2 linked regions of the Drosophila melanogaster genome follow. The protein of the gene in region 1 binds, or shares a complex with, the protein of each later gene. Each region holds a gene or a part of one and is shown in the gene's direction. Other genes may lie near its edges.

Region 1 (15,663 bases):
CCAACTCAATTTGCCGTCCCAACAACTTCATCTGCACTGACTAATTAGTCTGGCGCTGAAAAGTATACTATGACAAAAGTAAAACCCCAAGGAGCAGCCAGCTCCAACACAATCTTAATTAGTCTGGGCCAAAATTGATGAGGATACATATGAGGAGGCGACTGAGCTGGCCGAAATGCAGCCATATTTCGTAAACAGAACCATTGGCCAGGCCGAGAGCCATGCATAAAATGAATATCAATTAGGCCAAATGGGAGTGGAAGGCCGGCTTCGATTTCAAAGATAAACCCAAGGATGTGTGTACAGCTGCTCTGAGTGTTCCTCGTATTTTGTTGATTAAAGTCTGTTTGTTATGCCAGAAATTTTGTACGGTATATCCCCACTATCTTTCTATCACATCTACAGAGTAGAGGATTTGTATAGAAAAGTGTAAAAATAGAAAAACAATAGATAACCACATTTTAAAAATATCTTTTTAGTTCTAAGACTCTTTGAGAAAAGAGTAATAAACCTAATCTACTTTTCTTTAAGTGCACAGCATTCCCATTTATTTAGAGCAGATAATATATAAACCCCACCCCCTGTTACTCTAATGTTGCCTTTTAGATAGTCGCATTTTGCACCCGAAAATGGTATAAGGTGGCGATTTCTCATTTTGATTTGGTTGTCCGCTTTTTGTGCTCCTTTATTATCTACTGATTTGTATTTGTATCTGAATCTGTCTGTATCTGTGGGGCGTCTTTCATGCTCCGATAAATAAAATGAATTGAAAAAGCAAAAACCAACGTACACACGGAGGGACAGAAGAACGACCTCCGTAGGAAAAAAAAAAGGAAACTCAGCTCGAGGATAACAGATTAGTTGGAGCTGACTAGCAGCGTCCTGCCTTCCCATGGAAATCAAAACATTTTGTTAAAAGGAAACACCCACACAGATGCCACAGCCCATTCACACAGATACGAGCGCGTTTATCTGCGGAAACGGAGATACGTTCTACGTGCTCTAAACTGCCAACTCCGCCTCAATGGAAACTGTCTATCAGAGAATCCTTGCGGACTGCCGTCTGTGTGTCGGTGAGTCTGTGTGCGTTAACGCATTTTGTTGCCAACTTATGTGTAATAAAATGTAATAAAATAAAACTCTCATATTAGAGATGTTGTGCCACTTTTTGCTGTTTTGTTGTCTCGACCCCATAAAAAGCACACCAAATGTCGGCTAGTTTTGTTGGTGTCTTTGAGCTGTCTGTGGTTGGTATTAGCCACGTTACACATACGCAGTGTTGCCTGCGCAGAGATCTTCGTGATGGTGATGGTAATCACCATAACAATCAGACTGAAGTGGGCACAATGACACATAACAAGGCTTATTAGGATCAGCGAGTTAATGGCCATGTTGATAAACATCAAGTGGTCTTAACAACAGATTCCACCACTTGATTGATGTGATTCGATGATGCAATTATGCATTGTCTCCATTATGCTTTGTGCATTTTTTGGTAGCTAATAAAAATTGTAGCTACAAATGATAAAAAATAATAAAAATATCTTCAATGATAAATAAAGCATCGAGATACATTAAAGTTCCGAATATTTCGAATTGGCCTACCGTAAACAGAGTAATTATTTCGGTAAAAACAAATTAATTATTCCGTTTGTGACATTTAAGCAAACATAAAAATTAAATTCGTATCAAAAAACATTTAAATGTCAGTTAAAATAAATCAAGCGAAAGGCAACGCAATCTGTCAGTTATTGCCCCCCATTAATGCTAACTGAAAAAACTTTTCCCAAGCTTTTTATGGGACAATTTCAACTCATTAGGCAGCTGCTGCCAAAAAGCAAACCGAACCAAACGAAACCATTAATTACATTTGGCTGCCGGCGACAAATTGAATTAACTTGTGTCAAAGTGCAGCGTATTGATTTTCTAATTGGAGCCCAAAGACCAGACCACAACGGCATAACAAAAAAAAAAAGGCCATCAAACAACATAAAATTCATTTTCCACAAGCAGAAAATTAATAATTTTTAAATGAATTTTGCTCAAACATTCCGAGAAAAACAGAGATGAGCACTGACCATTAACTTAATGAGGGTCATTGTGGGGCATGCGGCATGTTGGCTCTTAACACCTTGCAACAGCTGATGACCACAAAGGACGCGCCGGATGATGATGTTGTTGTTTATATACTCGCCGCCTCTCGCTGCCACTCCCCCTCGCTTCTTAAGCTACCGCCCCCAGGATATTCCCGAGCTGCGGAGCGCAAGGGATCCAAAGCACTTTTTAATGTGCCAACTTCCGTTGGTGGCAAAAAAGAGAGGGCCAGAGAAAAGAAAGATGACGAGGACGAGCACGACTTCTGCGGCGGAAACGGAAGCCAAACAAATATGGCCGACGCACGCTTGGGCGGACAAAAAAACAACAATAAAACTTTTTAATGCACTTTTAGATGCCACAGTTGGGCTCTGCTGATATAGACACTGGGTCGAAAAACAAGGATATATATATTATGATTTATGATTAAATTAAGAATGATAAAGATAAATGATATACATGTATTAAAAGTGAACAGATCCTAGTTTGATTAACTAAAAACTTATACAAGAATGAAACTGGAAGTTTAAAACAATTTTATAAATTATAAACTAAAGAGCATATTTATTTATACATACATGTATATAAACATTTATTTCAACACATTCCAGTACCATACAAACACCTACTTTCCAAATCTGACTTCAGTGTAAACTCAACTTAATGAATATAAATGTATTTATTCATCAGTCAAATTTCATCACTGAGCTTATCCCTTAATATTGCCGCATTAATTAAAAGTTTACGCAGATTAAATTTTCGCATCTTCTTTTGCCACCTCACCACTGTGCGACTTCCGAGGATTATTTCGTTGTGCTTTCTTCATTCCGCGGGTCAAACCATCATCCCCCGCTGGTGTACTTACAAATTTTTGATTTGCCACTGAAATATTTGGCCCACACTTTATTTTCGTTACTGTGTTTTTTCTTTTTGTTTTATATTTAATGCGTATATATAATTTGCGCCAATTCATTTTTGTCGTTTTTAATGTTCTCTGGGTTTATTTTCAGTTGGAGCCTGCGGTTAGCGAGGAGACCGTAAAAAGCCAGAAAGTTTTTGCCCCTGACGTTGATGATGATGACGGCCGAAAGCGTGGAAAACAAAACGCTGATACAGGACGGGAAAGTTGGCCAAATGACAGAGAACAGTAAACAGGACATAACGACAATTTAAATGACATTTTTAGTTGGCATTTATGGTTGGGCGGCAGAGGATAATGGGTTCTCTTCGTATCCAACCAACTGTATCCTTTCCCCTGTGGTTTTCCCGACCATTTTGTGTGTCGTTGTGTGTGCTTTTGGATAGTGACATGCGATATTTGATCAATAAACTTGCCAGGACAGCACAGGATACGCCGTGATGTGTGTATCCTGTATCCTGTTTTTTTTTTTTGCACAGTTCCCCGACGAGTTCCCGAACCAAGCAGAATTTCACTCCCCCGTTGGCTTATTTTTCCTTTTGACTCAAGCCGCATTCATTATGAAAAGCAAACAAGGTAGACGCCACTAGACGCCACATCAATCCGGCTCTTTTCCGTAGCCGAGCTAAAGCGTTTTCGCACGTTTTCCTTCGCCATCCATGGCATCAGATCAAAGGACCTCGTCGTTTTCCCCAACCTCATCCCATCTCGTCGTCGGTGGCACTCGAGGGGTTTCGCTCTGGCAAAACAAAAACCCTCGGGCCTGTCTCAAGCGTTATTTATTGTTAACGAAATAGCCGACGCCTACTTACCCCCAACCCATGCATCCCCTTATGCACAAAATCTTTTACAATTCAACCCCCAAAACGCCTTGAGGGCAGGTTAACGTTAAAGGGTCTTTTTAGGACCCGCTCGGGGTTGCCAGACCTCGCAAAAAGGACACGGACAAGGACAGAGGCCGAGACATTATCATTATTCCGAGCTGTCTGGCAATTAATCAAATGCTAAATGGCAACAAAAAACGCATTTTGCGGCTTACAAGGCTGTCGACTTCTGGGGGTTAAAAGCAAATTACATTGAAAGCTTTCGTTTGCTTCAATAAGACGTACAGTGGAAAAAATATGTCAACAAATTAGCACGAAACATGCAACAAGTATTAGGTTCTTTGAAGAAAATTATGGATATACATATGATTTCATTACTGGATAAAATTTGGATATCATCTTACATGTTTCGAAATTGCTACTCAAATCGACAGCTTCAATCTGTAATAAAATTGGAAAAATGGAAATAAATTACTACGAAATAGTATTTAGTTTCGGTAATGAAGTTTGTTATTTTCTTTAAAATATTATATTGTTCAAAATTTTCTGTTATAAAGTCATTTAAAGCTCATCCATAGCTAATGTAATTAAACTGACCGCTTTGGTTAAATTATCCCAGCGAATCTCCGCAAGCTGGTTGTCCTTGTTGTCTCGTTATTGTTTCAATTGTTTCTGGACAGCCTGTCCCGACGACAACAAAACTAAATTAACACATACAGGGACAGCCATGGGTTCACCACTGTCCTTGTCCTGCTCAACTTTTCCCAATTGTCCCCCCCAGCAGCAAACCCCATCAGTTTCGCACTCTCGTGTTGGTTTCTCTCGAACACACAAAGCCAATTGACAGTATGGATGCTCTGGGGCGGATTCGAGGGGGCTTGCCAGTAGGTTTGGGGCACAAGTGCCGGGCGAAGCTGGAGCGGCAGCAGGAGCCAATTGAAAGCAGCACACAAGGATTACAATCTATCAGCTCTGTTCCCGTCCTCCTACTTCGCCCAGCCCTTCCTCCGTTTTGCACTCATGAAGCGTCCAATTTTTTTGAGCTTGTCAAGGATTCAAAGTTCGAACGCTTTTGGACCATGGTCCGCACTGGTCCATACTCTCTATCGCCCTCTTTTTCACTCTTTGTCAGTGCCCATCTATCCCTCCCCCTCTAGCCTTGTTCAACTGCAGCTCAGCTCTTGTCGCATTGCAGTTTTGCCAGGGTTCAAGAGCTTTGTGTGTGTTAAAACGCTTTTTATTGTTGTAAATTTTCGGGTGCAAGGTTTGTTTGGGCCGCTATTGTTCGGCAGTCTAACTTGGCTAAATCGGATCGAAAATCTCCAAAAACGTGGTAAACTTTAGAGATTTTGAATCCTTCATTGATGAAACATGATTTTATGATTGGTATTTATTGCTAATTCTATTAGTGCTTGTGTTCTTGCAAATTAGTTAGCAAAATAGGCGTTCGCCTTACAGAAGTTGACCTGTAGTTGCTTTTGGCTTTTCGATGATTGCTATAGATTTTCGCTTCTGCCATTTGCATGGGCCAACACTGCGGCTGTGTGCGTGAGTATCTGGCGTATCTGTATCTATGTCTGTGTCTGTGCATGTGTATGTGGCTGTCAGGCAACTCTATTACACTTAAAACGAGTCAATGCGTTTTAAAAAGGAACGGACCAATTGAACCGGCATCCATATATAGGAGCGGGTCAACAAGGGATCTATGCAAGGATGTGTGAGTGTAGAAGCCTGTGATTGTGTTGATTGTGCGCGAAAGAGAGGGAGGAAAGGACGAAGCTGCACCTTGGGGAATTTGTAATTGAGGCACGTGTACGGCTAAATGATTGTGATCTTTTGGGCATTTCAAATATGCAATTAACGAACAGTAATGAGTACACATAGGAAGGCAAAGGAAACAGGAGCAATGCATTGTGCAATGGGAAAACAAAACTTTGACAGCAAACCAGATCTAAGTGCATTTAAAAGTTGAGCGGTTTTCGGAATAGCAGAGAAGTGAATTTAATTAGTATATTTTAAATAATTAAAAAAATATAGTAGTATTTATTTTTAAATATTTGTAACTCTTTATATGTTATTGGAAGACAATCCTCTATGCAACAGCGACCAAATCCAAATTTTCAATCACCGTAATCGAACTACGAAATATCCACTTTGTAACTCACGCAAATTGCCATAGATAAATCTGTCCCAACAATCCGGCAGATAAACTAATATCTCTTTCTGTCCATATCCGGTACGAACTTTCCAGTCCATTGATGACCAACCAAACCGGCGCACCATTTTACAAATTGACTTTATGCCATCCATTTCGATTGCCTTACTGCCGCCGCCACCCACCCAAAACTAGCAATTGCTCCCTTTTGCAAATCCTAATCCATGCTCCCTATTTATACTCCTCCAAAGCTCGATTTTCCCATTCCGACCCATCAATGCACACAAAAACGGCAGCTTAGAGCAAAGTTTTAGCAACTAAAAACGGAGTCACATAAATGAACAGGGCTGTGGACACAAAAGCGGCGAATATATATATATATATATATATATATATATATATATAGGAAAGGATATAGTTGGTCGAGGGGGGCCTGGAGTGGCGGACGTGGACATGTCACGCACACTTTATCCTTTATCCTGGCAGCGTCGTGGCTTTTGGAAACGTTTCATTTTCCGTTCTGTCAAAGGTATACAAAACAAAAAACTTTCCAACTGGACGGGACGTCGACGACAGCTAAATGCGCGAAAATGTTGGACCATAACACCTCGCAACGCCCCCCCTGGAAAAACGCTCAAAATCTACCCAATTTTCCCACACTTCAAACGCAGCAATGTTGCAGGGAACACGACCAACATGAAATTAAAATGTAATTTTGTTAAGCTGTAATTTGATTTTTTTATATTCTTTTTCCCCGTTGTTGACCATTTATTCATTTCATTCATTGCTAACTTTGATTGTTTGACGACCGTGATTGCTAAACTCTACACTAATTTGTTGAGTTGCATAAAAGTCACAAGCATCAAAAACAATTTAATAATATGTATTTGCAGTCCAAATTTCGATGCAAATATCAGATTTCGAGAAGAATTTTAGTCATTCAATGTTTTATTCTGTGAAACCCTCGTTTTCGTAAAACTTCGCTCACTCTCATTCACTCACTCATTTCAATTCGATTCGAGTGTATTAATTTAACAGCAAGTTGTGAATGATGCCATGCAGATGTTTAGTATATATACTATATATTACGTACGTACATAACGCTTAAGCGCCGGAACAAAGCAATCAGCAGAGAGCCATGCGTGCGTGTGTGACGTACAAGAATAACGCATAAACATAAAAAATATGCAAAAATAAGGGAAACAATAAATGGACAAGGAAGAAGCAGCGCCCGCAGCATTCATAAGCGGTAAGCGGGATAAGCTTTGGATGCCACGCCCCCATAAACAAAAAAACGCCAGACTTTACAGCTTGCTCTGTCATATTTTTTGCCTACAAGTTTACAATGCACCGAAAAAAAATGACAGAAATATAAATAATATCAAATATGTAAATTTTAAACTTATAACTTATAAGAGTAGAGCTAAAGATATCAAATTAAAAAGCAAAACCAATATACGTTATTACAAATATGAGTTTAGAATACTTAAGAAATTCCATACAGTCGAAAATTGCTGATATGTTTACCACCCCCAAAAATATAACAAAAATATTTTCAAGTGTATCCCAAACTGCGGGCCGCTAAACGAGTATCCTAATTTCTTGGTTTTTATTTTATTCAGCTTTTCCTGGTTTAACGCGGTGTACAATTTGTTGTTTAACAACAATACAAAGGCACATGCACATCATACTTTGCGGAAAGCAAAAAAGGGCGCCGCCAAACAAAAACGGAAAAGCGCAGGGCGCGAGAAAAGCCTTCGAGTTTGAAAAATGTGTGCGAAAAATGGCCAAAGGCAGCCGCATTGTGTGGCCAGCTGCGATGCGCGTGTGTGTGTGTATAAGTGGAATTCGGAGCGTGTGTTGGCCAAATAACGACAACAACTAAAGCAACAAAAGCGGCCAGCGAACTGCAATCGTACAACCTATATATATAAAAAAAAGTGGAATACTAGTAGCACACAGCTGGTAAAGCCGTCGAAATGTTGCAAAACATTTGCAACGTTTAAAATTTTAAAACACAAACAGAGAGCCACTGAGTCGGAGATAAAGGGCAAAGGAAAAAGGAAAGCGAATGGGAAATGTGAAATAGCTGGTGCAAAGCTCTTCCTAATGGAGAACAATAAGTAAAGGGGACTTGCAACCGAAAACTTCACCACCAGCTGCCCCAAGTGCTAGAAAACCTCACTGACAGAAACATTTACTGCACTAAATAAGGTTAAAAAAAAAACCAACAAGAAATGATAGCTGCAAAGCAGCTTACACTGAGCTGCAGCGAATGAGGCAGCTTGAGTTGCACAGAAAATCTATTAGTTCATAAAGAGAATACAAGGGATGGTATAGTTTTTGGGAACAAAACCCCATTGAATAAAAGAAGAATATAAAACACACAACCTATTACAACTTGACATGCAAATTATTACATTTCAAACGAACCCGCCGCCACTATAAATTCCATTGTAAAAACAATAGAAATTGAAAAGCTACAAATCTCGCAGGTTGCCCAATTACCGAAAATTCTGCGAAATTTAGAGACCAAATACATTCCATAAATTGAATTGGCCAAGCACTTTGCCGGTTTTTATTGGTAATCCTGCCACCAACTGCGGCAGCTGCAGCGGTGTTGCATGCGGTGTTGCACGGCATCCAATAACAACAAACAAAAGGCATTATTAGCATAGTCATTAACACAGTTGGTCCCAGCAAGCCAACAGCGAATCCCGGACAAATCTCGCATAGCAGAACCTGCTAATTAGCAGGGGCCACAAAAAGAAAATACAGGGTAAAATAACACGAGTTCGATGCGAAATCAATCCAAATGCGGGCTTAGATGTACATACATATGTACCCGAATAATAAGCGTATATATAATCCTTTCGTACATAAGTCTGAGTATCGTAGACCCTGGCTGGCAACGCAGATGCAAATTCTGTTAGCAAACGGACCCTCTCGACCTTTTTCAGGCGGCTTATTTGGCATTTTGCTTTCGTCCCGGCGGCAAATCATAATCATCAGCGAGGAGAAAAAAAAAACAAAAGCAGCTAAACAAGGACTCCCACAGACTGCCATGCAGCAAATCATTTATTAAGAAGCCCCTTCATCTTCATCTGAGCCATGCTCCTCCTGCACATCTCGCCAGATCCCCACTTGGCCCCCACTTTTTCTGTGCTAGCTCTATGCTTTGGGGGCTCTATGATTGTCAGCGGGCACGGAATAATAGCTAAGCCGAATGCACTGAGCATCCATCTGAATCTCAAACTGAATCTGAATCTGACTCTGAATGCTGGGCGAGCATGAAAGAAATATGAACGGATGCCTCTTGAATGGCTGGCTGGCTGGCTGGAGAAGATGGAGGAGCTGGAGAGGAAGCCGAAGGAAACTGGGACACTCAATGCATCATCATCCTAAGCCGCATCAAACGAGATTTGTCAGACGGGCGTAAGCAGCAGAAAGGCGTGAGCTGAAATTTAGACATAATAGATTGCCGTGAAGAATGGTACAGATTAAGTCCTAGATCGGCTTAGCAGCTCCAGCAGGCGGGGAATTAAATAGAAAACTGGTTTGAAACATGCAACTAACAGTTCTCTAAAAATCTAAGAACGTTTTGAACTGGAATACATAAATGTATAATTTCTTGGAAGCAAGAGGGAACCCTATTTGCGAATAAGCACAATTCTTGGAACCTTATTAGACTTACATTAAAATAAATACTGTTGATATATATTTATGATTAATTATATTTTTATTGGAAACGGAGTCATCATAACAATGAAGAGAATACAATAAACAAATTCGTAACAAAATGATTAAATTGTCATTACATGACATATGACTTGACTTGATATGAGTCAAACAAATCAGACAATGTGATTTATACAGAAAATACATTTTAACATTATTAAACATTCCTGTTGAAATATTTATTCGCAAAGAACGTTGAAACTTCATTTTAACTACACAAAAGCCAGACAAATTCCTCACTCGAGCTTAATTAACTAAAATTATTGACAATAATCACTCGCTCGAGAAGACGTGGCCATAAAAGCAGTTCTTCCGGTTTCACACACAAAACCCAACTAATCCCAAATGTCTAATTATAAACGTATTCTATCAGAGAGTCACTCGATGAAGCACTCGTGTTGCAGGCCAAGAATGCAGAATTGGACAACTGGTTTTATGGCAAACGCCAAAATCAAGCAAAAAGCATGAGGGATGGCCCGATGGATGGAAAGCACCTACTGTTATCAAGTGGCAGGACGATGTTGCAGCAAGCACACAATATGTTGCCAGCTGTACAATGGGCCACTTAAACGACAACAATAAAAAATTATTAGAATGCCAATGGCAGCCGAGGCACAGGCAATAGCAAAGGATTCAGCTAAGGACTTGGCTCGGCAAGGAACTCAGTACGGCACTTCATAAATCTAGCAACGGCATATGAAATACGAGTATCCTGTGCTGAGAGCAGAGCCAATCAAGTTGCATACAACCCGGGGCATGCAGCCCGGGAGCACACCGAGAGAAATAATTAATACATCCTATATTAACGGGGGTATTTATTGGTTGTTCTGTTGTAAAGGATTAATTGTACATTCATTTTACTTTACTACTTCTGTATTTTAAAAAAGGTTATTTCTTGTATTTCTATTGCTTTTTGTTTTTCATTTTGTCTAAATATCAATAAGAAAGATTATACTTTTCAGTGCATGAAATAACGCAGGCAACCTTGTTACTACTTTTTCAGCATGTCCTGACCATCCAGGACAGATAGACCCAGCAGAAGCACACAAACTCACACACATTTGGCTTGTGATTTATTAACAAGCTATCGTTTATCATGTGGGCAACAAAGGGTTAATGCCTGAAGGGCCTGCTGAGTTATGCACCACCACCACCAGCAGCAGCTGCAATTGCCAATTTGCTAGCTGTGGCTATATGCTATATGCTCCATATACGATATATGGGAAAAATGGATGGGAAAAGGTAGCGGGGGCGCGGGACCGATAGCCGAAAATATCTGAGAGGCATCAAGATAAACAACAATCGCCTCAAGATAAACAAAAAAGCGGAAAGTCACGAAAAGTATGCGCCAGACAAACGAAAAAAAAAAGGCAGCGGGGAAAAAAAAAGAAAAACCATGAAAGCCGCAATAATTCCGCACCGATAATTTATGTGCGCCGCCAAGTTTATAAAAATTAAGATATTTCCCATTTCCCATTAAACATTTCATAGCTGGAGAAACTGAACCCAAGCTATATGCCCATAACTTATCTTGAAAATATTTGTTTTGAGCGCCGTGCTCTCGAATATTTTTTTTATTCGCTGCTTCCTCCGATTTCTTTTTGGGAAAAATCCGAACGTGTTGAAGCGTTAAATTTCCATGTGGGCGGCCGGCCGGCCGTCCAGAGAATGGCCAAGACAAAAAAAAAAAAAAAAAACGAAGAAAGAAATAGGTGGACCGAGAAGCAAACAAGTTGCAAAGCTGGAAAAGGAGTCGACGTGGGTGCCGGGGCCAAGATAAAATGTTGACCAATAAATTTTGTGACCATGAACGACAAACACACAGAGCGAGCGGAAAATAAAAGGCCAGAACCTGAAACCTAAGGGGGAAAAAGGAACAAAAAGCGCATGGTCAACAATAATAAACACAAACGATTAGGGGCAAGAGAAGGCCCCACAAATATGGTATGCTCTCTCGAGAAATCTTATTTGGTTCAAGAACCCATTCGAAATTCCCATTAAATTTCAATTGATTCAAATACATGCCTGGTTTTTAATCCCGAAATCAAGTAAATAAATGGCTGTTCGTTCGTTAGTTTCGTAGTCTAATAATTTATGTATAATGATAAGGCATTATGACAAATGAGCTTATCGCCTTATTCCGGTCTATTTAATCTGAATGTATTCGATGGCACCTACAACAACTTTTAAATAACAACCTTAACGTTATACAGAAATTTATTTGTCTGCGTTTAAGTTCAATAAACGCACCAAAATGGCTAGAAAAGTATAGTGAATAATCTTATCTTATAAAACTCATCAAGGAACACTTAAAGTCAAATTAAAATTCTTAAGGGTAAACGATGTTTCATATAGTACAAAATAAAACAAATCTGCATTGCAAGTGTTATTGGATCCGAGATAAAGTATCTTAAATGACAATCATAAACAGAAATCTGCTGTGAGCCATAAATATGAATGCTTTTAAAAATATTACTAGGTTAAATGAATGAATAAATGAATATATTAAGCCGTTTTTCAATTCTCTTTCAGTATATCAGTTTACGGAAAATAAAAAACTGCTTTATTTTAAGAACAAATATAATGATTTTCGGGTTGAGATCCCTTTTACTGAAAGACCCGAGAAATATATTAACCTTTCCAAGGAACCCATTATAAATATTCGGTACCCTTTGAGCCAGAAATCCAGGTAACTCCTTCGTTATGGTTAGTGTATGACAAATGTGGAAAAACTAGCGCGACGGGCGATTGGCGACTAGCGCGACTGGCGGCGACCAGACCAACAAACAATGTCCAGCGATTTCCGATCGACAAGTTGGGGCCAAGAGCGTGATGAACGCGTCAAGAGGGGGTGCGAGGGAAGTCGGAATGGGAAGAGGAGGGAGCGAGAAAGAGGAGACGCAGCGTGTGCAAGAATGCTTTGCTCCGCGAGTGTCATTAACTCGTTTGCCTTATCTCGAAAAACGTAAACGAAGCTGCATGAGAGCTTTATTTACGTATGTAGGAATGTGTGCGTTTGGGAAAATTACCTGCGAAAGGTGCCGCCCTGCCGCCTAATTGATAAGTTTTGGTTTCATATTCGTCTATGTAAGTAATTAACTATGGTAATTTGGGAAATTGGGTATATTTGGAGCGCGGCGTCTTCTTACCTGTCGCACATCAATGACGCACGCTGCCGACGCCGACTTCAGCAGCGACGCTGGCAGAGGAGTTTACGTTAGCTCTCTTGCTATGTATCTCTCCCACTCGAACACAAACGTGTTGCGCTCACCAACACCAAGGCGAAATTGCACAGCTGAGCTGGTGAAAATACAGCGAATGCGGTGCACAAAACAGAGGACCGAAAACAATAACGTTATGTCAATTTGTTGCTGCCTGAGTTGTTCTCTGCCTGCTGCTCCCGTTTGTTGTTACTTTTTTTTGGCACGTGAATCGACAATCGCATTTTTCAAATTCTTGCACTCATTCGCTTTTGTGCATTTGTTTACGTCACTGGCTCATACACACACGCACGCACACCCGCACACATACGCGCGACTGAATGAAAGGCGCGTAAAGAAGAGAGTGGAAATGCCAGAAAGAGAGCGATTAATTTGGCAAAGCGCCGCACGCTCAAATAAACAAATATTTTATTTATATTTCGTGTCCCAATCACTGCGCCATTGTTTAGTACTATTCGTTAGTGTCTGCTAATGCCCATTTTGCACAAGTGTCTTATGCATGGCAACAAACAATACAATAATCGAAATTTCCACTCGCGTTTTGCTCTTGGCCCGCAATCACGGGCTGCTGCAACTGGCAGATAAGCGAATCCGATTAATAATCTAGTGCGCCGCGCATTGTTTTTGGTTACGCGATTATTCAAATGGCTCGGAACACACTTTATTGCATTTTAATTAATATCTGCTGGCCTCGCGAGCAGCAAAATCGTCCGCTGCACTGAACCGAACGCGATGAAAACAAAGATGAACTAGCGATGGAACAGATGGCGATGTGAGGTCCAACCTGCGATATTTCGATGTTTGCTAAGTCGAGTAGTCGATTGGTCCTCTCACTCGATAAGTTTTTAAATTTTCGATATTAAATTTTTAACTTTGTTGAACTTAACATTAAATTTTATACTCCCATTAAGTTGTAGACTGTTTCCAGTTATAAGCTTATTTCTAAATGAATAATTTAAAATTCCTGCTTCTTAAAGGAACAAAAACAAATATACGCCTTCCTCAGAATTTAAAATTTATCTTTACCTCTGTTATTTGTCCAATTAAATTAAGTTTTTATATAAAATCATCGATAACAGAAACCGATAAGCAACCGAAAGACATCTGTTATGCAAACGAGTGGGCAGTCCTTTGATGGGCGTAGAAACTCATTGATAAAAACAAAATCACTTAAAATTATTAGTTTGGGGGAGGGATCAGGATTGAAAGAACCGGGAGCATGTCGGAGCTTAAGGCCCCGTCGCTGCAATCTCTGCTGGAATCGGAGCGAGGATCCACAGACAGCCTACTGGCCGAATCCCTGCAGCTGGACTTCGAAGATGTGAGTTGGGATTACCCGAAAATGGAATGGCCTAGATAACACTTTATCTTGATTCATCCAATTATAGCTTGATGATGCCGAGTTTGCAATACCGCCCACCGATGTGCTGCCTACTTTGGAGGCGGTGCTCAGTGAATTTGAGGCGGATTCGGATGTGGCCTCCGAGTTTGGAATGCCGGTGCCCCATGCCACGCCCACGCCCTCGATTGGTGAGGATTCCACGATCAGAACAGACGGCAGAGGTGGTGGAGGATCCATAATGAGGTACACCCTCCTACACGGCATCTCGGCACAACTTTCCTCAGCGGCGGAACGTGTCAATGCCGGAGCAGCCAGTTCCTGTGCCGTGGCCGCATTCATAGCCATCGGAACATCGCATGGACACATTTTGAACTTCGATGTAACCCAAACCCTTAGGTGGGCCCATCAGGACAAGCATGGTCAGGGTGCGGTGGCCAGTTTGGCTTTCAATGCGGATTCAACGCGACTTTTGGCTGGTTTTTCTAGGGGATTGGTTGCCATGCTGGACACTCATACGGGTGATGTTCTCCGTGAGCTGTTCGACGTCATAACCCCAAACACCGGCGTACTGCATGTCAAGTGGACCTCGAGATCATCACTGGCCTTGTGTGCCGATGCCGGCGGATCGGTGTGGTCTCTTAGTTTCACCCGGAAGCTGGGCATCCGTGGCTGCCAATCGAGATGCCTCTTCTCCGGCGCTCGCGGAGAGGTCTGCGCCGTGGAACCTCTAATAATGGACTCCCAAGGACGCCATGAATTGGATCAGTACTGCATTGTGGCTCTGGCAACGTTATCCAAGTATTTTATCGTCACTGTCCGACCAAGATTAAGGGTCATCAAATACCACGTGCTTCAGGGACCTCCTGATTGCTTACCTCTCCTCGCCTGGCATTTAGTACTCATTCAAGCGGCAGATACTTCCCGCTCCGTGGACCCCGTGATTGTCGTGGGCCGCGGGAATCAATTATTCTTTCACCAACTGTTTGTCTCGAACGGACGAATAACGCTTTTATACCTTCGACATGTCCAGCTGCAGGGGAGTCTCCTCTCCGCTCACTGGCTGGGACCAAAGTGTGTTGCCTCATTGGACACGGCGGAAATACTTCATCTTGTGGATGTGCGATCCAGTAAGGAACTAGAATGTATGGATATGGCCAACGCAGGACTGGTCTACGGATCAGCGCAGTTTAAAGGACTAGCCACTGGCGGAAATGTGTCACCTGCCTTCGCTTTAGCCGGCTCAAATGCCTGTTATAACTCAGTGGTTTCAAGAGGAACCCAGTTGTACGTTTTAGGCGCCAGGTCCCTGCATATAATTGGAGTTAGAACTTGGTCAGAGAGAATAAGCTTCCTGGTAAGATCAAAACTGT
Region 2 (15,663 bases), on another chromosome or scaffold:
ATTCAAATCTTTCGATTTAATTGGCATCATTTTAAGAAATTCAATTTCACTTTGCATTTTCACGTATTAGAGAAATATCAAAATCCCCATTTGGCCTTTGTACATGTGCAAAATGGCGGGGATTGGATTGGATGCATGGGTGGGTTTTGGCTTGGTTGCTCCGCCTCCGTTGCGACTCTCCACACATTTCCCAGTCATACCATACCAATTTCGAGATACATCAAAAACTACATACAACAACAACAACAACAAGAACATGTTTATCATGTAGTCGCAACAGAAATCAAGTGAATGTCCCTTGATGCTGAAGATATACTCAAAACTCATCGCAAAAATGAAAAGTAAAAATAAAGAAAAAAAAAAATAAAAAATAAAATAAGGATACACATATAGAGCGCGAAGTGCGGGGGGGTGGGGAGAGGTGGGATGGGCATGGGCAAGTCGCCGGATGGAAGAAGGTGGAAATGGAAAAAATGTCGCCCTGCTGTTTCCGGAAAAGTGCTCGGGGCGCACATATGTCAACTTTTTGTGCCTGCTGCCTTTGCCTTTGCCTTTGCCTTTGCCTTTGCAATTCCGCATTCGCATCCGCATCCGCATCCGCACTCGCGTCCGCATCTCGATCCGCATCGTGCTGTGCTCGCTGTGCCCTTGCATCCCGCTCGCACACGCACACTTTGTGACAAGTTTAGCGAGAACTTTTTTGACGGCACGCAGGACTCGGGCGGTAAAAGGACGAGAAAGGACGAAGAAGGCGGGGGGGTGGGGGGGGGACTATGCGGCGCACTTGAAGAGCGGCACAACTTGAAATTGGAAACTTTTGAATGTCCCTCTTATCAAAATCGTATAATTTGAATGTAATTTGCAACTGAAAAGGGGCGATAGCATGCGGCCTCTTCGCATTTCCGGCTCATGATGTCCCGTTCCCCGTTCCATCGTCATCCTTATCCTCATCCTCATCCACATCCACCAGCGCCTTCGTCCTTGGTCCTTGCTCCTTCGAAAAGGCTGACCATGCGTGAACGCAGGCGAGAACGGACGAATAGCTGATGGATGGACGGATGGATGGACGGATGGATGGATGGATGGTCGCCAGTTTGCAGCACTGCGGTGAAGTCAATGAGACGACAGGTTGCTAAATCTTTAATGGCCACCGGGTGCGGAGACAAAAGCTTTTAAGAGCCTGATAAGCAATTTAAAGGGTCTATTTATTGCGATAACTTGAGTCCTTTAACAGCGCTTGTTAACCGTCCGATATGCTCACAATATTCAATTAATTACAATTTTTGGCGAAGCTTTGAAGCAGAATCAATGGCAAATTTTGTGTGTAAGCTAGAAACTTGCCCATTAGATTCAATTAATTGTTGCCGAATATCAATAAATATGAGCCAATATTCATATATTATATATTATATATATATATTATATTTATTTACATGCACATTCAACATTAATTGTTATACCAATCAATTGTTATTCAGCAAAAGATGTTTCATAGCTATCTTATCATATTTTCTAAGCATCAACAGCTGAACTTTAAATCATCAATCTAAAATCTAAAAGAGATGGCATTCTATTTATACTATTTATGTATTCAAGCACACATGATTACTTAATTCGCTTTACTTGATTACTTGATTTTACTTGATTTTTTTGAGCAGTCCAATCCAGTCCATTTCAATCCATTTGAAGTCCATTGGCGATCCATTTGAATGGTCGGATATGAAGGCACATCCTGACTGAACAATGGCCAGAGATAAAGGTGCGTATAAGACGCTTTGAGTGTGAAAAGTGAAAAGTGAAAAGCCTGACCCGGACAAAGCAGTGCATCCGCATTGGCATCCGCATACGGCTCATCATCATTATCATCATCCGTATCCGCTTAGCAGTGCCGGCGACCGCAATCCAACTAGCAGGATTAGCCAAGCCTTTTACCCCACCCCAAGTCTTACGAAACCATCGAAACCAACCAACACACAACCCATTCCATTCCATACCAATCCAAACCTCATCCCCTGCGATTGCTCACCCCTCGAACAATTTGCCAACGCACCAGCACCAGCAAACAAATAGCGATGATGACAACAATTTAAAATCCATCAAGAGCACAAAAAGGCCTCATTAAGTCAAGAGGGTGACGACGTCGATGGGATGGGCGTGGAACCCACACCCACACCCCCCATCCACATTCACAACCATACCCACACCCAAAACCGAACCCGAATCCGAATCCGCATCCGCATGTGAATCTGAATCTGAATCCGAATGCGAACCACTTCGCCATCGCCTCGTTGTGGCAGAATGGCAAAATGTAAGCATAAGACACAATAGTAATTATTGCCTAAATAATTTCAAATGAAACTCAGCACACGGGCAGTTGAACCTCACCCTCATCCTCATCCGCATCCTGGTCCTCCTGCGTCCTCGTCTCGATGGGGTGGCAACTTGGCCAAAAGGGGGTGGCGGCACTCCCGGTGGTCCTGCACAAGTGCACTACACGTCCGATTTCAATTGAGATGTTTCCATCCACATCTCTACAATTCGCCTGTCAACACAGCCGACCTTCAGTTGCGCTGATCGAGATATAGATAGATAGATAGATATCTATATAGATAGATATAGATATTTCCTTATAAGATCAACATTACACATGAGCATTTGGAGATTGCGACTGCAAGTATATGTATCAACAGTGAATTACACTTGTTCTCAAAGGAAATAGTAGTATTGTGGTTTTACACTCAGAAAAATTGGGAACAGTGGCATCAATCATTCGGATGAGAAGAAAACGATCTAATTCGGGAAGATAGAAGTGAAGGGATGGCTCAAAAAATGAGAGAGAAAGCTGAATTATGATTCAATCTTTGCTAGATTTTAAGATCGTAATGCTCATATCGAGATCGTTGAGAACTAGCTTTTCTCTGAGTGTAAGCCCTTCCAAAGGGTATACTATACATAAAGTATAAAAAGTAAAGTATAAAGTATACAGGAAAGCGATCTTTGTCCGTCCGTATAGCTTTGTCCGCATGTTTGTCCGTTTCTATTCTGCCTATTTTTAAAGTTTTTTATATTTATATTATATTAATTAGAAACCTTATTCTTGATTTAACCCTTAAATAATATTTCATTACTCAGCGACCAATGCAAATTGTGGTTAAAGAGAATGGGAAAATGAACATAGCTTCTTTTAAAAGCAATCATGTTAAATTAAAACTTTTACCATTCACTATTTTCCATATTTTCCACTAAAAACAAAGTAACACTTAATTGTAGGAAATAACTATTATTACTATTTGTACACTTATTGTCTGTAAGTAGTGCAAAGTTTCACATTCTAAGCTAGGATTAATGTAGACAGCCAAGTTGGCGTAGTTTTCCGGATGCATGAGTGCATAACCAGAAACAAAAAATCCGAGAATTCAAAGGGCATTTGCAATTGGAGAAGTCAAATCCTCAAATAGGCACTCCGCACTTCGTCCTAATCCAAGTGCGCATATGCTCGATTTGGCGATGAGGCGCCGACGCATTCGTACGATAGGAGGGATGGAGATGCACAGGAGATGCGCGATGTGACCAGGACCAGGACCTTGCCGGATGAAGTCATCCTCTCAAGTGACTGCGATAGCCAACACCTCGGGGTGTCGCTCTAAAGCGCACATTTGTCGCACCGAAGGGGAAGGAGCTGCGACTTGGGAGCAACCAGGATAAGCGAGGACGGCCTGATGGACAACTGCGTGAATCAGGGCCAGCGGATGAAATCTCCAGTGCCTCGCCTGCTCACTCTGTGGTGGTGGTTGCTTCACTCCACTCACTGCTTCACTTTGTCCGATTCCACCCGCCGCCAATGCCATTGCCATTGCCATTGCCATTGCCTATCGAATCCATTCCCATTTGAATCCCTCCTCCCTGAGATTTTCGCCTTCGTTCCCATTGCCGATTCCGATTCCGCCTGCACTTGCCCTAATGTGTCGATGTCAATGTGCTGGTAATTCGAGTAGGCAAGGACTCGTCCTGGGATGTGCCTCTCGGAGCGTCGGATGGCAAGCAATTGTGAAATTGTAACAACCATTCTAGCCAGGCGAGTCGATTCGAACGGCAGGAACAACAAAGAGTCACTGCGATAACAGCCAAATGAAGATCAAATGAATTGTGGAATTATGCCACAAAAATTCGAAATCAATTTGCACATGTGTTCCACTCCCTGCCCACCCTCCTGTCAGCTCCTCCTGCCCACTTCCACGGGCAAAAGCCAGTTGCATGTCCATTCCCCTTTTCTTTGTCGGCGGAACTCCTGCGAGTGGCAAATTAAGTCAGTTTGGTTGGGTTAATTGTATACTTTGCACTTGAAGAAACGATGTTTTTTTTAGCTGTATTTAAATTTAAAATTCCATTTTTGCAGCATACTTTTGAACAGTTTTTGGAACATAAACAGTAGTTATGGTTACAAATCTACTAAGCAAGTTTTCAATTTAATTTGTACTAATTATCAAGTGTGAATTTGCTTGAATACATTCCAAAACGGTGTGATTTGAAATAGTTTTCACACATTCTACACTTAATCTACCTATAGATTTGGATATCTCTTAAAATTATAGCTCAATTATTAGCTGTGACTTTAGAAATTCCCGTATAAAGTTATAACGTACTTAAGTACACATATTAATGCTCACCATTTCGCAATCGCTGCAAAGAGGGAATCCAACTGGCGACTCCATCCGATGAGTGCTGCCACTTGCTGGCGAAATGCTTGTTGTGCTGGCATTGTTTGGACACCGAGAAGGAGCTAGGCTCGCCCCGGAAACCGGGCAGCCGTTTTTCGGAGCTGCGAGGCAGGTGTGGTGTGTCGACCTGGTCCTTTGGGCGTTCGCCTCCTTGCTGTGGGTGTGGTTGCGTGCGTAGACGTCAGCGCAATGCCTTTGTTTGGCGGCATGCGGATGACATTCACGTCCGTATCCGCACACACATCCGCATCCATATATCCGCAACCCCCGACCATCGCCAGCGGCCTTGCCCCCGGCCATTGGCCCTCCAGGACGAACAGGACGAGCAGGACATCACCCAATTTGCTGCGACACGTGCCTCCACTTGGCCAACAGCAAACAAACAGCAACAGGAGCAGTCAAGGAGTCAAAAGAAGTCAAAAACCGTGTCACGTGTGCGGCTGTGTTCGCTAATTTCGTCACCTCCTCTTTTTTCCTGAAGCTTCCTAATTTCGCACGGAATTTTCGGCACTAACCACCTCATGCACTTGGTCCAACCAGAAATCCGCCCCACCAAGCTCACACAAAAAGTATAAAAAAAAAAGAGTGCCACGCCCACAACATGCGAATAAAGTTCGCCAATTTTCATTGGGATTGTTCGGGATTGTGGAAAGTGTCTGTCTGATTTTCCGGGTTCACGTGTATATGGGTCATGCTTTGAGTGGCAAAATCTATTAAACTTATTCAATGCAATCATTTCATTTGTTTTCGATCCCCCCCCCCCCCCCTTCCCTTTAAAAAGCACTCGACCAAGTTAACCGGATAAGTCAGATTATTTGAAGATACCGTGGGGATCCAAGAAGGTACATACTTCATTTTGAGTGGTAAACATACAAATACTTTCATTGGGCTTTTTTTCTTAAGAAAATGGAATCGAATTAAAGATGGCCTTCAAATTTTATAATTTAGTGGTTTCATTAAATGGAAATCTACTCTTTGAAATGGGTGTTGCTTCTATATTTAAGCCAAAACTAGTTAATATTCAAAGAAATACATCTAATCGAACTAGGAAACTATTTAGTATCAACTGAGACTTGAGCTGATTGAAAGCTATCGCATTTTAGAGTCCAAAATTAGAGCATATTGTATATTGTATTGCCTAATTAACGGATACCTTGATTTTGGTAGGGGGAGGGGGAGGGGCGTTGGTCTTTTGGGGGGCGGGATTCCTTCTAAGTGGGTCGCTTGTAGTGCGGCCCATTGTCCAAGGACACGTGTCATGTGGAAGCTGGAGATGGAGCTGGTGGATTGCTAGAGTGGCGGATGGAAGAAGGACGAACGGATGAACGGATGGGCGATGTGTCGAGCCAGGCACATCCGTCCTGCTGAATGGCCTTGTAATTGAATAAGCTCAAGCCTCGTCCTGCCCATTATATTATACATTCTATATGTATTATACGAATGATATTTTTGAATGATTTCAGAATATCTAGAATCTTGGTATTCGTGCAAAAAGTTTCCAGGACATTGAGCTGTGTGACAACAAACTTGTCGGCACTGGAGTACTAAATATATTGCACATGTTCATGCATGTTCAACATATTTAGCACTCAAGTACCGAAAAATGAACAACGAAACGAAAAATAACACGAACATCATGCTGCCCATTATATTATACACTTATTATTATTGTTTTTTTAGAATATCTAGAATAGGAGAAGTCTTGGTATTATGGCAAAAAGTTTCCAGGACATTGACAACCTATATATGTATGTACTTGTCGGCACTGGAGTACTAAATATATTGCACATGTTCATGCATGTTCAACATATTTAGCACTCAAGTACCGAAAAATGAACAACTAAAAGCGGAGAATACGAAAGTGCGGACCACCAAGTTATCCAATTGGCAATATTGAATTTTTGATTTTAAACACTTCCTACATCCTGTATGTGTTTTGCATCCGGTACAGATGTGGGAGTCGTTTGCACTCAGAGATTTCACAGAATTCGAGGATCGACGGATGCACTGGAATGTCTGCAACGGCGGTGGTGGGCATCGCCATGCAGTGCCGCGGCATTGGTGAGGCCATCTCCAATGGATTAGTTCTCAACATTGGATTAGTTATCATCAATGCCGGTGCACTGCACCTAACAACATCGCGCCGGGGAATCCCAACACAACGAATCAACAAACAAGGTATGCTTTAGATAACTCGAATATCACATCTTCAGTGTTCGAAATCTGATGAGATATTCACGTTGTCTAAATCATGTTTTGTACGAAACTACAACTAAGATTTCATATAGCAACAAAAAACTGCAATACATACAACTATAAACTTAAAGTGCGCGAGTGCCTTCCCTATCAGATACCCTATACTCAGATCAGATATTCATTTAAATTTTCATTTGATTTCAGCATAACTTTGCCTTGGATATTCAATTAGATTATTATCTAAAACCGCAAACTTTATTTAAAACTTATTGCTAACACTTTTCTTAACTTAAAATACTTTTTTTCTAACACAATATAAGATCGGAAGAGTAATAATGCAATTAAAAAATTGCTGCGTTTGTAAAACCAGCAAGCAAACGAAACGTCTATCCACGTAGTGACGAAGCGCACCGGGAGAGTGTTCGTCGAATGCGACGACTATCACTAAAAGGAGTTAAAGATAATGAGATAGTTTATTCACATGGTCGAATGGAAAAAGTTGACTTCGATGATTTTTGGGGAAAATGCAATGCGAGTGGAGGCTTTGTTTTTAAAGCGACATGTTTCGTCACCGTTATTATTGTTATTAGCGAATTTGTTATTGGGGGCTTTTCTGCGCACATTAATGAGCTGCTTGTGCGCCTTTCATTTGCATATGTCTGTAAATGCCGAATCGATGGATAGATGGGCTTTTGATTAATTAACATACATACATATATAGGCGCGCACAATCGCACACAGTCGATGGGCATACATATATATGGCTATGTGGCACTGGCCATCTGGCCATCTGGCTATCTGGCTATCTGGCTATCTGGCTATCCGGCTGGCCAAATGTCCAGCAGTCCAGTAGTCCGATTGCCGAGACCATTCGCAGGAAAAGGATAGACGAGGATGGAGCCCGGAGAGCGACATGGCCAAAAACCATAATTGATTGTCGATAATTCATGCGAGCTTAAATTGCCAATTGCTTGTGGAGTTGTGGGCGTAGGGTGGTCTATCCGGGTGCTGGGAGTTTGGGAGCCTGGATGGTGGGTGATGGGTGGTGGAGTGACGGAGATGTTATAGAGATGACCGTTGGACATTGATGACGGCTAATGGCGAACATACAAACGAACCCACATCCACTGGCGACTGCATATTTATATACTCCAATATTTGCAGATGATACATATAGCAGGGTATGTATGTATGTATATACATCTATATGCATATATATGTATGTACAAAAGTGGTTGATGGGGGGGGGGGGGGGGTGGTCACTTGCACCCACATACAAATGCCTAGAAATTGGCTTTTGTGGGTGTGTATCGGCTCGTACATATGTATGTACATATATATACATATATGTATATTTATGCCATGTGTGCTCCTGGACAGTCGGTGGCTCCAAAGCGGAGAAACCATCGGACAACGATGAAAAACCAGGAAAATTCCACTCGCCATATTGCGACTAAGGGAAATGGGCGCTGAGAAAAATGCGATTAAAGCGAATGCAGCACAACTTGTTATTTATGCCAGATTATATATAGCATATACTTTATACTTAAAAGCAGTCAATAATATTTTAGAGCTCAGATTTCGAGTTCATGCTTAATCGCAGTGCGAACTTGAAACTAAATCAGGGCATACTAAATTCGCAATATACATACATATGTATATTAAACCATTGAATACACATATATACATGCACATAATATTTATAGATGTTCTTGCACTCTTTATCATACTTAACAATAGTTCTTCGTTCTCATACTGATCTTTAGTAAAATAATGCTCTCTTCGCAGGGAACAATATATTTGTTGCCTACTTTACAGCGTAGCTACCACATTGATGCCCATCACGAGTTTACTAACATCAAATTTGGTTAAAATTCTGGATGGTTTCTTGCTTGCATTTGCTTCCACTCCAAAAATCCAAGTGGCTAGCTTAAATTAAGAACTGGCCAAATACCAACGACATAAGCTTCGTATATGAAAGGCTTCAGGATGGGGGAAAACCGCAAACCCCGTAGCAGGAGCAAACGATGATGAACATCCTGGAAACCAAGATCTCAGCTATCATTCTGATTCGATGTATAAACCAGTGGTGAGAGCTACCTAGGATATTTGTGCATTTCTAAACAGAGTGGCCAAGCTTATCGCGGATGACCTGGTTGACGACGAAGTACAATATCTTGGTTGGCGGCACAATCTGCAATCTACGCCACTGGCTTACGTTGCAATCGAAAATCGTGTCCAGTGCCGTAAATTGCAGTTGTGTGAACGCAAACGGCAGCAGCGAAGGACATTTTAATTGGTTTATTGGTTCATACATATTCGAATTTGTATAACTAAACGGGTAACAATTGGTGCGCTTTGTTGGATGGCAAATGAGAAGACATGCGTGGGGAATGATGGTAAATGTGCGCTTGTGATTATGAAATTCATTTATCTAATACTTTGTTCTTGTCTTTTCCGTTTCCGTTTCCACGTCCACATCCACATCCACATCCACATCCTTTCCTCTAGACGTGCTGGCTTAGCCAATGGCATCCTCTACACACATCTTGTCCATTTGATCGGTGTAGAAGGCATTGAAGTTGATGCGGTGCACCAGATTCATGAAGCAATCGGCGGTGTTCTTCTTCGCCATGCTGTTGATCTGCTTGAGGAACGATATCAGCAGTTGGGTAAATTCCAGATCAAAGCGCCTAACCCGCTCCGAAAACGTATCTGTCGGATCCAACGGGGTCTCAATCTAGCAGGGGACAAAGAAATCACAAGTTAATCACTGGAACATACATGTGAGGATGTCACAAATACACTGAATTTGGGGGGAATTCTTATGTATATACAAATTCTTCCCGAACTCAGGCTAATTTTGTGGCATCCGTATACACAAAAGTATAAGTATATAAAATATAAAAATAAGTATATAAAATATATAGATTAACCGCTTAAGTTGGTCTTACACAAATTGTTTTAACTGAATTTCAAAACATTTTTTCCAAACAATACTACGTTTTGTAAGTAGATTCATTAAGAAGGAATAATAATCAGGGAAAACTTAATAATAATCTACTTATTGTAGATTATTTCTGCATTAGTAATTTAATGATACCAGAAGATGCATTTAAGGTTTTAAAAACAAAAGAAAGCAAATGGCCTAATGCATAGGCAAGCCAATCAAAAATAACTTAAAGCATGCAATCCAAATTCGAAATAAAAGAAACAATGCTATCAAAATCGGGGCCACGCCATTATGCAATCCAGCTGGACACAAAACGGAAATGGGTCCACCGATAACGAAAGTGGGAGCGAGAACACAGGAACCGCAAGGAACAACGTGGTTGAGCACAAGCCTACGCAATACCTGTGGGCAGTGCAGGCTCTCCTGTTCGGATTCGGAGCTGTCCGCGCTATCACGTACCATCGACCTGAGCTCAGCGTCCTGAAAGTAACGCTGCGTGATCTGCGAAGGTGGGGATTAGCAAGGATTCCACATAGAGTTGGAAGCGTTGGCAAGCGGGATAGACATAGAGCATTAAGAGCACGGAGCACGGAGCACGAAGCACAGAGCAAAGGAAGAAGGGTTGTACGCAAAAATTTAGCAATTTAGCCACCCGGTACCCTCGCACTGTAACTGGAACTCACCTGGATGAACTCGCAGTACTTCAGGCAGATCTTGCAGAGCTTGAAGATCGAACGATTCAGATGCGACGACTCGGTCAGCATGCAGTTCTTAAGGCACGAGTCGAGGAAGTCCTGGTGGAGACGCAGAACGTTATCCACGTTCTCCACCGTCTTCATCTTTTCAATGAAAATGTGCCAGTTGGGCTCGATGATCTCGATCATCATGTAGTACTCCAGGTTCTGGATGGCATTCATCATACGCTGGCGCAGAGTGAACGCCGCTCGATAGAGACTAGCCGCCTGCGGCTCGAACTGCCTGGCAATCGAGTTTTCCTTCCAAATCCTGTTTGCGAGAGAAGAACTTAAATGATCGTGGGCATAAAAGGTTAAGGATCGGGAACCCACTTGCACAGTTGGCGCTCCACGTGCTTGCAGTAGAAGAGCTGTCGAAAGAGCATTTGGTACTTGGAGATGGAAATGTGATTCAGCACCAAAGAGCAGGGCCACTTCACCTCGTAGGTGAAAGCGAAGCACTCGAGGCCGCTAAGATCGAGGCGAGGCTGTGCCTGCCAGTTCTCCTCCTTCTTCATGATCTTGGACATTTGCGTGACCAGGTCGTAGGGCAGCAGCTCGCAGTGCAGATCGTCTTTGTAGGGATCATTACGCGCCGAGGAAATGCGAAGCGTTAGTCCCAGCAGGTTCTCTAGCGTCATGGGCAACACGTGGTCCACGTTCTTCGTCAGCTCGTCCTCGCAGGCGTCCATGAACTGCATGGTGAAGTCGCCTTGGTTGAGCAGCAAGTAACGCTTCACCGACTGTAGGTGACCCATCAGGTCGTTCTCCGTTAGCAGCACATCCAGCAGCATGCGGGCGGCAAAGTAGTAAGCGTCGTTGATGACGGACACGTGCCGCTCGCTGGTCGGGTCGAACTCTAGGTTCATCTCTTGCGTGGGCATTACGCGCTTGCCACACTGTCTGATCACATTGAGATACTTGCCGGTGCGCAGGATCTTATCCGAATACTTTGCCAGAAACGATGGTATTTGTTCGTCGCGCAAGGTATACCGTCTCTCCCAATAATCGTCGGAATAGTGCTCGGGCAGCTCGTCGCGATGGATCACTTCGTTGTCCACTACGAGAAATTCCCGGTGGCGGTCCACGATCACGCCCTTCTGGATCCACATCTGCAGCATTCGCATGTACGGCTTGGCCGCCTTGCGCACCAGTCCGATAATCAGCTGTTGTGCATCTTTGTTGCCTTCCAGCCGCTTGATCCGCTCGTGTAAATACGTCAACACTTCGGCATCCCGTGAATCGCTTAGCTGAATGATCACCAACGAGGACCAGACCTCATGCATCACCCACATCGTCGGCTGCAGGTAGTACAGTAGTTTCTGCAATGTTAATCTATTGTGGCGCAGCTCCTGTTCGGCTTGTACGATTATCAGCTAGGCTCGGTGGAAAAAAAGATTAGTTAGGGAAAAATTTTGCCACGACACGATTGCACATCCTTACATAGAAGTCGTGTGTAAGTTCCTGCAGTGCCTCATTCAATGAGTTCATCACCTGACCCAGGCCGTCGGTAGCCGCGATTATCTTCTGCACGCCCATGAAGTAGGAGGCCAATGGCAAGATTTCCCGCACCTGGTGTGTCAGCGAGCGATCGAGGTGCGTGTGTATGTCAAAGTCCGTGTCGTATTTGGCCAGGCCAACGGCAGAAATAATTGGCTTCTGAGGCACCAGGAGGCTTTCTCTTATGCCCGTGAGGCAGTGCAGCAGCTCGTCGAGCAGCATACTCTCCTGGCTGAGAAGCGGCATTGCCGCGATCTCTGCCCTCGGCACCTTGTCCCCGTCCACCTTGTAGTATTCCCACAGTAAATGGGTGCGGTACTCATCGGGCACATCAGTTAGCGTCACCAGGTCATTCGGCATTGACTTTGGGCTGTTGCCCGTTTTGTTGGTCACCGAGCGGTAGCCGCTCAAGGATTGATCGGAAACGGCATTAAGCACACGTTCCTTGATCTGTGTGGGTTGATCATTGATTATTTGAAGGGGCCAAGTAATTGGCAGCGAACAGCACACCATACTTAGTCTGCACTCACCACACTTAAGTCGTTGCGCTCATCCTTGCCCGCTCCACGGTTACGGTCCATTGGGCCGCGCCTGACAAAGACTACGGGTGTAGTGTCGGATTCAGTGGCCTTTTTGCAATTCACCGGCGTCGAGGTGGGAAAGTCCTGGGACTGGGTCAAGCTAAGCCTGGTGGAACCAGATACGTTTTGCGATGTGGTTAAGATTGTCGAGGTGCTTGCGATTGCCAATGTGGTGGGGACTGAACCGGCTGCGGAATTAACATCCGAAGTCTTGTTTCCGTGCGGCAAGCCCATCGCTGAAAGGCTAGTGGAACTGCTGCTCTCGGAGACTGGTTTGCATTCGCTGTATCGCTCGACGAACACCAGCAGTGCGTACATGGGATCCTTATTCTGCAGAATGTGCGAGATCTCCTTGGTCACCTCTGCGAAGTTGGGACGCTTCTCGCTGATGGACACCAGGACTTTGATCAGATCGCAGGCTGGCAGCCGCCGATCACTAGTGGCCCGAAACTCCCGAATGATGCTCTCCGGAGTTAGGGGCGATCTGTGGGATAAAAAATGACAGTAAACTATGGTGCCAATGGCGGGAAAGAGGCGGTGCAGGAGCAACGGCTAGATCGACTGGCCACCTGTGCACTCAATCCACTTACTGCGACTCGCTGATCAAATTGGCGAGCACACCGCGCAGCGCATGGGGTTTACTCATCACGGAGATGGCAATTTATAGTTCCGCGCTTCTCAATTTACAGTTATAACCGGCAATTGAGCTCTTTTTGAGTGCGCCGCTCTTCTCAATATTTTGTTGTTCTTTTCCGGGTTGCTTGAGTGCCGACTGCAGCGACAGGGTTGTCATCTGTCCTTGTAATGTTCTAGTTTTTTTTTCAATCCTTAGCCGTTTTAAAATCGCAGATGCTCATTTTATTTTACGCGCTTGCAGCAATTTCGGAATCAATTTAAACTGAAATGAGCAGCACAAGCAACTTGATGCAAATTGGCATTTGTTGGTATTTAATTGTGAGGATGTGGTGACACTGGTTGCTGGCGAAAAAGAGGGGTGCGTTTAGCATAGTTTACACTGGACTGGCCACTACTGTAACTTATTTGCGTTAAAGCGTGCAAAGCATTGAAAAAATACAAATTTTGTTAAATGAAAAAAGCTGTACATAAAAAATAAATAAGAAATACTTTCTACCCACAGATTAAATAATTGAAACTACTCCTCTATTATTTTATTCTATCTTAACTTTATATTCTTGTTTAATCAACAAAATTTATATCTGGCAACTGTTTTGATTTTAAATTGCAGGCAAGTGATAGTGTGAATGGCCCATAGAGCAGCGGACAGTGTGACCGTGCCATAAGGGTAAGTGTAAGACCGCACTGCTGAGCGCAGGCGCAGTCCAAATCAGCTGCTTTGCAGCGATTACAGTCGCGTCCCTGATCTTCTGCAGCCGAAATCCGTGGGCGTTGCACCAACACCACCAACGCACTGCACAAACCGCCCACCAAGGACACGGTAGCGACCGACCGGAAGCCGCAGAGCATACGAATCAACACTTCTGGCAAGAGGAAAGGAGCATGTTCCCCCACTTGAAGGGCCATGGTCAGCGGGTCAACCTGCAGTTGCTGCAGGAGGCCGCCTGCCGCGAGCTGCTGCAGCAGCTGGACCGCATTGAGGGTTCCAAGGTTATTGTGCTGGACGAGACCATGATCGGACCGCTGGACTTGGTTACCCGGCCAAAGTTATTCGCTGATCGAGGCATCCGTCTGCTGGCCCTCAAGCCGGAGCTTCATTTGCCGCGCGAGGTGGCCAATGTGGTGTACGTGATGCGCCCACGCGTGGCGCTGATGGAGCAGCTGGCCGCCCACGTGAAGGCAGGCGGAAGAGCGGCCGCTGGACGGCAGTACCACATCCTGTTCGCCCCGAGGCGGTCATGTCTGTGCGTCAGCCAACTGGAGGTCAGCGGCGTGTTGGGCAGCTTCGGAAACATCGAGGAACTGGCCTGGAACTATCTGCCGCTGGATGTCGACCTGGTATCGATGGAGATGCCCAATGCCTTCCGCGATGTGAGTGTGGACGGTGACACTAGCTCGCTGTATCAGGCGGCAGTGGGCCTAGTGCAGCTGCAGCGTCTATACGGTCGCATTCCGAAGATCTACGGAAAAGGAGAGTTTGCGCACAGGGTATGGGAGCACGCCAAGCAGCTGGGCCGGGATGAGCGGACTCTGTACAACGGCGACAAGGGTGTCGTCGATCAGTTGATCCTTCTGGACAGAAGCATCGATCTGCTCAGCCCGCTGGCCACACAACTCACCTACGAGGGGCTTATCGATGAGTTCTACGGCATCCGGCAGAACAAACTGACGCTGCCCGCCGAGAACTTTCCCTCTGACGGAGCCCTTCCCGGAGGCGGAGGCAGTGGCCCACGAGTCGAGGAATCGCAGTCGCTGCTGGGTGACACCGAGAAAAAGACCATCCTACTGCACTCCGGCGAGCAGTTGTACGCGGAGCTGCGGAACAAGCACTTCAACGAGGTCACCAAGCTGCTCGCTCGCAAGGCACGGGAAATTCACGTCCAGATGCACGCCACCTCCCAGGACAAGAGCGTGCAGGAGATCAAGAGCTTCGTCGAGAACCTCCTGCCGCAGCTAATGGCCCAGAAGAAGGCCACCTCTGAGCATACGGCCATCGCTGGCCTCCTGCACGAACAGGTGAACGCGGTGCGCTTCGCTGACGACCTGGCTGCCGAGCAGGAGTTCATGGTCTGCGCAGATATCGACAAGCCAAGCGCCTACATCGAGGACCTGATTGCCTGCAGGGTGGAGTTGAATCGCGTCCTGCGGCTCATCTGCATGCAGTGCCACGCCGCCTCCGGATTCAAGGAGAAGCTGCTTAACCACTACAAGCGCGAACTGGTCCATGTGTACGGTCTGGAAGTGCTGCTCACCATCAGCAACCTGGAGAAATCGGGCCTGCTCCATCTGCAAACAGAGTCGCGGGCTTACAGCGTTCTGCGAAAGGTGAGCGCCAATTCAGTAAT

The links.
Region 2: Vps8 (region 1) and car share a complex: the UniProt entries of both Drosophila melanogaster proteins name them as parts of the class C core vacuole/endosome tethering (CORVET) complex.

Annotation. Positions count from the first base shown.
Region 1 is NT_037436.4:6,493,698-6,509,360, reverse strand, and holds the start of Vps8 (vacuolar protein sorting 8), read left to right. Parts: upstream 1-14,063; 5' UTR 14,064-14,170; coding exon 14,171-14,272; intron 14,273-14,339; coding exon 14,340-15,647; intron 15,648-15,663. UniProt on the Drosophila melanogaster protein: Part of the class C core vacuole/endosome tethering (CORVET) complex involved in endo-lysosomal vesicle trafficking and lysosome biogenesis by facilitating docking and fusion of endosomal vesicles.
Region 2 is NC_004354.4:19,552,142-19,567,804, forward strand, and holds the start of car (carnation), read left to right. Parts: upstream 1-13,877; 5' UTR 13,878-13,985; intron 13,986-14,041; exon of another isoform or gene 14,042-14,073; 5' UTR 14,074-14,200; coding exon 14,201-15,643; intron 15,644-15,663. Other genes in the region: Grip84 (Gamma-tubulin ring protein 84), read right to left, coding at 9,436-9,654, 10,270-10,368, 10,551-10,872, 10,935-11,977, 12,045-12,551, 12,632-13,166, 13,273-13,328. UniProt on the Drosophila melanogaster protein: Core component of the class C core vacuole/endosome tethering (CORVET) and the homotypic fusion and vacuole protein sorting (HOPS) tethering complexes involved in endo-lysosomal vesicle trafficking and lysosome biogenesis.